Kluyveromyces lactis: one gene and its partner. The protein of the gene in region 1 binds, or shares a complex with, the protein of each later gene. Links are inferred from orthologs where the notes say so. Each region holds a gene or a part of one and is shown in the gene's direction. Other genes may lie near its edges.

Region 1 (3,285 bases):
TGAAGAGTAAGATAAATCCAGAAATCAGGATAACGACATTCAAGGACGCCTTACAATGGTTAAAAGAACACCCTACAATGAAATTTATGTTGGATATCAAGCCTACAAATGATAAGGTTCTTTTAATCAAGGCGATTCTTGAAATGAGAGCAGTAGTCGATGATTTAGATTTCTGGAGGCAACGTTTGATGTTCGGATTGTGGCAACTTGATTGGTACAAATACGGGGTCACCACGGCCACACTGAAGGGTTTCAAGATCGTGGCCATCTTACCCTTCACAGCGATGGCTACTAAATTTGTCGAATACTCTAAATCCTTGAGCGATGACAACTACAAGTTGCATGGTGTCAGTCTTCATTTCATTAACTCTTGGAAACCCGATTTCAAGAAAACTGTATTACCATACTTGCAAGAAAACAACCTTGCCGTATACCTTTGGACCGTCAATTCCGAAATTGACATCAAATATATCAGTAGTATGACCATTACCGGGATTATCGTTGATGATCCGGTAGCTTCAGTGTCAATTCGAGATGAGTACATTCGGAAAGCAGTGCCGTTTGTACCGCCAATTTTCAATAGCTCTGAAGGTTTTAGACTATACCTTAGACTTCGGGTATTCGAAGTGGCTGAAAGGATCCTTAGCTCAAGATGGGCCACTGTCCCAGTATTCCATGATATCACCTTGTTGAAAGTAACCGTTTTATTGTTAAGAAGAATCCACTTCATTTAAATGTCATTTCATTTCGTAGACAATCTATATAACACACATACCATAGGAAGTTAATATCCTGAAATATGTTATATTTAGCTTGCAATTCGATTATCGACGGACCAATTGGTGTGTGGGGGATTGACACATTCCATTAAGTCATATCACGTGATTGTAAGAACTTTCAAGTTTCCCTTTCTGAAAGTCGACGATTTCGACAGGAATAACATACCGATGGACAGAAACATTTCATAAGATAATACATGAATTCAGATGCTTGAAAGTATTTAGAGCGGGTGATCCAAAGATTTTAAAAGGCTTTTGAGATAGTTCTAACGTGTTATTTACCTGCCACAAAAGTTACTTTTGTACAATCAATATTGAGGGCTCACTTCATACCAGATTCTTTTTTTTTAACGTGCTATTTTTACCATAGTTAGGCACCAATTTGCATTACCACCGATAGACTCTGGTTTATTTTTGAAAGCTAGGTAAGGACAGTTTGATCATTGTTAGCTTGTCTCAATTCATTCATCATTTCCATCGTAATTCTCCCTATCATTTTTTTTTTACCTGGCTGATTTTGGTACAAGAGCATGTCAAGTGTCAATATAGAGATTAAAGGAATCAGATCAGACATTCAATTAGAAGATTTAGGAAGTAGCAAGAACGGTTGGAAGGAGTTACTGTCTATTGTTAAGAATAACGGGAATAGTTCGGATTTATCATCCACGGATATTCGTTCAAAATACTTGAGCAGGCCGTCAGAAGTTTTATCTGGCGTTTCTAAAGAGGATATCCGTTATAGGAATTGTACAGCTTGCCACCAGCCGGTATTGGTGTCAGCTATTATAGATCATTTAGAGAATCACTGTATTGATAAAATGCCTGTGAAAAAGAATGAGACGCAGGATATCATGTCTTCTCCTGCTAAAAGTAAGGGGAGTAATAAGAGATCCTCGTCGATAGATCCTGAGAATTTCGATTCACCTTCAAAGAAACAGAAATCATCCACTCCTTCTGGATCGACTAGAAAACAAAGGAAGATAAAACAGCGAAACCCGACAGAGCCACATCTGGTTAACTTCGATAAACAGTGTGGTGTACCATTACCTGAAGGTGGTGTTTGCGGTAGATCATTAACATGTAAATCGCACTCAATGGGAGCGAAACGTGCAGTGGAGGGACGGTCACAGCCATTTGACATATTATTAGCTGATTATCAGAAACGCAACCAGTTGAAATCTTCGGCGTCCAAGACTAGAATCCAAAAGGCACAGCAAAATCAGCAGGATCCACAAGTTAAACAAAAGGGGAAAGATAAAAACACTGGGAAAACCAGCAGCAATGAAGTGGTCAATGAGTCATTACCCAAATTGTCCCCTGAAGAAGAGACTACTCTGGTTTTGAACGGTGTTTCACGTTCATACCCACTACCGTTAGAAACTACGGTATTGACTTCTACACGATCAAGAACCAAGTACGTCAGAATGAGAGAAATGTTTGGGTCTGCTTTCAGTATAAAACCAGGCTTTAAGAGCCCTGGAGTTGGTGCGTTCCGCTCAAGGGTCGGTCTTATTGACATTGATAGAACGACTGATTATACGTTCCGTATACGTACGCCTCAACCTATTAACGCATCACCTCAAAACTTGACACCAGAACAGCTTCAAATATTACAGGCCCAACGTTTGAAACAACAACAGCAGCAGCAGCAGCAACAACAGCAACAACAACAGCGGCAACGACAATCTAGTGCTACCGGATCGTTATCTCAAATGCAAATGCAAATTCCACAGTCAGTTCAGGCTGGAAAACCTGCAGGGCAACAACCCATGATGACCCAGGGCATCACCCCTCGGGATATTCAAACTCAACAGCTAATAATGCAACAACAGCAACAGAAACTCCTGCAGAAGAAAAGAATGGAAGACGCCAGTGCTCAACTAGATACGGCTTCTAAGTTGATGCAGCAAACAATAGGCTCACCGGTTAATACTCAAAGTCGAAGCAATTCAAATCAACCTGGTGTTCAATTTGGTGTAAATGGATATGGAGGAAGAGTTAATTAGTGTAATATTTAGAAACTTAATAGCTTGTTAACGTCTGTTTTTCATCTCTTAACTTTGAGGGGTATGTGTATATATTTTGCACAAGTCGTTATAATAAATTAAGATTGGCTTCGCTTTTAAGTTGAATAGTTTAGGTAACAGAAAACGATGATCCAGTACACAGTGGCCTTTACACTTCTTAATACAAAATAAGAAATCGCAGCTAGCAATAAATATGGCCAAGAAGCATCGCCTGTTATCAACAGTGTAGCATATTGGACAGTGAACATCAGTAGCCCTGGAGCTAATGTGCTCCATAAACGCGTTCCTCTTGACTTCCAAATAATATGGTCGATGGTATTATCAAAGTTTTTGGACATCGCTTCTCTGGAGAAATAGTACTTAATACGTTTAGGACCGTTAACTTCGAATAAGGAGTGATTCTTTTCAAATATGTCTACGGATTGATCCAACACTTTTGACCATTCATCAGCATCGGATGGTCGTAACCAACCAGTTGC
Region 2 (3,967 bases), on another chromosome or scaffold:
CAATGGAGACGTTAGAATCTATCATCATTTTATCATGCAAATGAAGCTGGTGGAAACTATTTTTCTATTCAGAGTTTTGTAACCAGTCAGCGATCTTCAATACAAAACCCTTCGAATTAGGCACAAAATGACCACCAGAATGTTCTAAAAACGTACTCGTTCCTTCTTTACATGAGGTATACAATCCTTTCACCTGGGATGATTCCGTAACGGTATCTAACTGACCTTGAACATGCAATGACCTTACAGTGATAGGATGTTGGATGTACTGCTCTTGATAAATCTCAGGTCTGAACCTAAATCCGGAGAATGCAATGAAAAATTTAATAGCAGGCTGTTGTTCCTCCGTGAGGCCTAAAAGGTTATTGAAATCCGTCATCAAATATCCAGTGACACCTGCACCTTGACTAAACCCACAGATACCATCAAATGGTCCATTTTCGACAACGTACTCTTTCAAGAATTTCAAAGTCACGTCGGGCAATCTGTACTCCCCATGCAACGGATCCGGTTGAAGCCACGCGTGATAGTCATCCCCAGAAGCAGCGCCGATATCTGCAACATCGCTAGGAAGATCTGCTGGTGATAAATTAATTGGTGCTGTAGGGTAGAAGAACTCATATCCAAGTGGTTCTAAGACCCGACGAAAACCTTTCGTTTTCGATTCAAAATAAGGACCAGACTGGGCAAGCCCATGCAACATCAATACTTTCTTAGACATTTTTTAAAAACCCTAGAACTGTTTATCTACCTCACAGCCTGAAGCGGTGTTAAATCCAAATCCACTAATAATAGAAACCGGACATAAATACCTACCCATATACTACTCCCCTTCAGAATACTGGAACAGAATTGGAAAACGTTGATGAACTTTTTTTTTTTTTAAATTTTCCTTGCGATGAGCTCCCTCTCCCTCTCTCTCTTTCTCTGCGAATCGGATTATCTCCTAGAAATCTTCGTACGCAGCTGGTTTTTCCAGGTACCTCTCGAGAGAAAGAGTACAAAATGACTACATAAGGATGACTACGGGATACATGCTAATTTTGATACTCATAAAAAATAAAACTAATAATATATAAGAGATCCTGTAGACACCTCCACTCATTTGCCTGTATGGTTACAAACACCCCGGCTGATAGTAGTCTGTATATGACCACACTGAGCTCCCACAAGTATATACTATCTACCGTTTACTTATGTATCATTTCTTCCTTTTATTTTTCGCTTTTTCATTTTTTTGCTTGATTCTGGATCAAGTTTTTTCTGTTTAACTTTTCATTATATGAAATTCGCACTCTAACAGATGATGATCTAGTAATCAGATTCAGTTACAATTTTTGGGGAAACGGAGCAAAGTCTTTGTGCCTTAGTCATCCTCTAGCTCGAGCAGGGAACTTCAGCTAGATATTTTTCTGAAATTTCTCAGTGCTCGTGCGTGTGCTTGGCCAAAATTTTTTTTATTAGTTATGGTTTGTCCGCATATGAATCAAGTGGTTTCTAACCAAAAGCTTGGTGACGCAGTGTTGAAAGAATGCGAAACGGTACGATATCTGCTTCGCCACGCAGACTTCAAGAATAGAACTATGAGAACCATGAGATGTATGGATTGTGGTGAAATTAGCTGTGGATCGACTTTCATTTGCTTGCAATGCGGATTTTGCGGGTGCTGGAATAACAACCATTTCTTGGATCATTCTCAAAAATTGGGACACATCTTTGGGGTTAATTCATCAAATGGTCTAGTGTTCTGTTTCAGATGTGGTGATTTCATGGCTGATCTGGTCGCTGAAATTCCGGCTAGCCAATGGGATACTGTAATGGAAAAGACCGAGCTACCAGCTAGCTTACACAGAGATGGATTACAAGGTTTGGTGAACATGGGATCCACCTGTTTCATGAGTAGTATCATTCAAACCATCATACATAATCCATACTTTGTCGAGGACCTGTTATCTCATAAGCATTGCAACAATTGTGACATTAAATCAGGAACCAAGTGCGTCTCTTGTGCATTGGATGAAATTGCTTGTGACTTTTACGGGAATGGACCTGGGACAGGGAAGTCTTCCTCCGTTAGCAAAGGCTTTGTAAACCTTTTATCTGCATCATGGCATATCAATCATCATCTTGTTGGCTCGTCACAACAGGATGCACATGAGTACTGGCAGTTCTTATTGAACCAACTGCATACGGATCATGCACGAGTATTCGGATCGTCAAAGGCCCCTGATTGTCAATGTATCACGCATCGAATCTTCCAAGGATATCTTAAAAACACTTTACAGTGTTCTCAGTGTGGATTCTCAAAGACCACAATAGATCCAATCATGGACCTTTCCTTAGAGATCAAAAATAACCCTAAATTAGAAGATTGCTTAGATCACTTCCAAAGAGAGGAAACATTAACCGATTTTCACTACGAATGCCAAAGCTGTAAACAGAACCAGGGTGTGGTGAAACAGTTAACGTTGCATAAGGCTCCTAACGTATTAGTTATACAGTTGAAAAGATTCGAACATCAACTCAACGGTCAAAGCGCAAAATTAAATGATAGAGTACAGTTTCCATTGCATTTAAATCTAAAACCCCATTTATTCCAGATTGAAGATGAATATATTCCTAATATTGCATATGATCTACTAAATGTAGTCTCCCATCAGGGGACGGTTGATCAAGGTCATTATACCACGGTGAGTAAAACTGAAGATGGACAATGGTTTAAATTCAATGATTCTGTTGTCACTTCAGTAACGGAAGAGCAAGTATTGGAACAACAAGCATATCTACTTTTCTACATTATTCGTTGAATATGTTAAAAGAAGAAAAACTCCTAAATTGGTTTACTAGGTGGCTTCCGTATATATATGTCAGAAAAGAAACCCAAATAACATCACACCAATCGACGTGTTATTATTGCCTTTATATCTTTTTTTTCAATATACAGACCCATATATATATAGTATTCTATCTAATCGAAGAAATCATCATCATCATCATCATCTGCACCGTTGCGGCCATTTCTACCAACACCAACATTAAATTTGCCTTTGATACCTGATCTTATACTGTTATGACCGTATCTCTGTTTCTTTTCTTGTTTAGTATAATCATCTTCGTGGTTCATTAGCAATCTACCATCTTTCTCGTCTACTGCACCAATATCAACCATAAGTCTTTCAAAATCTTCCAATTTAGTATCTTTTCCACCAAGTTCGAGTAGTGTAACCAAATGTTTTACGACATCACCTTTGTAATAAACAATCAAAGTCGGACAGTTGTTATCTGGATAATTCTCTATTGCTCTATTACCAGGAATTTCCACGAATTTGATTTGGGGGAATTTGGCTGCTGCTTTCTCAAAGATACTAGATAATAACCTACTTTCAAGTTTGGCTTGACAAGTTAAATGAACAAACACATAAACCCCTCCTTCAAACTCTGAAGAACCATCATCAACATATTGTGATTTTTTAGTGCCTTTACTGCATTCTGTGATCTCTCTGTTGTAATCAGGTTTGCTGATTGGATATACTGAACCAAATTTTGCCTTTTCCTGTAATTTCTTGATCTCATTGAGACGTTTCTGTTTATAAAATTGTAGAAATTCCTCATCTTCTTCATCTTCCAAATCCTCCAAATCTGATAGATCCTTGCCGTCTAGTCTATTTTCATGTTGCTTTGCCAATGCTTCTTCTAACGCTTCTTCTAGCTGCGCAGTTGGTGATGGTGGTCTTTCTGGAATTACACCGTGAGCTCTTAAGATATCGTTCCACTCGGTATCTTCTGTCTCATCGACTTGCACTTGAAACATAGGCTCATTTTGCATTATGGTTAGATTGTGGTGCTGCAGAAGCTGTCAAGTAATCTTATGTGTAGGTTTATTCTCACCGGTTGGCTCAGTTTAGTATGAAATACTGATGCCTTCATGCTATTATAAATTTAAAACTTAAAAAAAAAAAATAGACAC

Evidence for each region. Proteins that work in one complex are often made in the same cells at the same time.
Region 2: the proteins of SGF73 (region 1) and UBP8 are in contact, whole or in part, in a crystal structure (PDB 3MHH), measured with the Saccharomyces cerevisiae proteins. The link is inferred for Kluyveromyces lactis from reciprocal best matches to the Saccharomyces cerevisiae genes SGF73 and UBP8. Residues at the interface, in NP_011449.1 of Saccharomyces cerevisiae: Gly24, Ser25, Gly26, Pro27, Ser28, Asp30, Ser31, Trp32, Lys33, Leu35, Met36, Ser38, Ala39, Lys40, Thr42, Pro43, Leu44, Gln45, Asp47, His48, Met49, Asn50, Ser53, Leu54, Lys55, Lys56, Tyr57, Phe58, Asn59, Asn61; in NP_013950.1 of Saccharomyces cerevisiae: Thr23, Ala26, Ala27, Tyr29, Ile30, Asn32, His33, Ser34, Val35, Pro36, Glu38, Lys39, Asn42, Thr43, Gly47, Thr48, His50, Met59, Cys60, Leu61, Gln62, Cys63, Gly64, Phe65, Cys66, Asp107, Asn110, Asp111, Leu114, Tyr117.

What each region holds. Positions count from the first base shown.
Region 1 is NC_006038.1:214,243-217,527, reverse strand, and holds SGF73 (deubiquitination module subunit SGF73), read left to right. Parts: upstream 1-1,309; coding exon 1,310-2,785; downstream 2,786-3,285. Other genes in the region: PGC1 (phosphatidylglycerol phospholipase), read left to right, coding at 1-734; ALG2 (GDP-Man:Man(1)GlcNAc(2)-PP-dolichol alpha-1,3-mannosyltransferase), read right to left, coding at 2,902-3,285. UniProt on the Saccharomyces cerevisiae protein: Component of the transcription coactivator SAGA complex. SAGA acts as a general cofactor required for essentially all RNA polymerase II transcription. At the promoters, SAGA is required for transcription pre-initiation complex (PIC) recruitment.
Region 2 is NC_006039.1:603,184-607,150, reverse strand, and holds UBP8 (ubiquitin-specific protease UBP8), read left to right. Parts: upstream 1-1,466; coding exon 1,467-2,807; downstream 2,808-3,967. Other genes in the region: KLLA0_C06996g (alpha/beta hydrolase), read right to left, coding at 65-721; PLP2 (Plp2p), read right to left, coding at 2,969-3,826. UniProt on the Saccharomyces cerevisiae protein: Histone deubiquitinating enzyme component of the transcription coactivator SAGA complex. SAGA acts as a general cofactor required for essentially all RNA polymerase II transcription.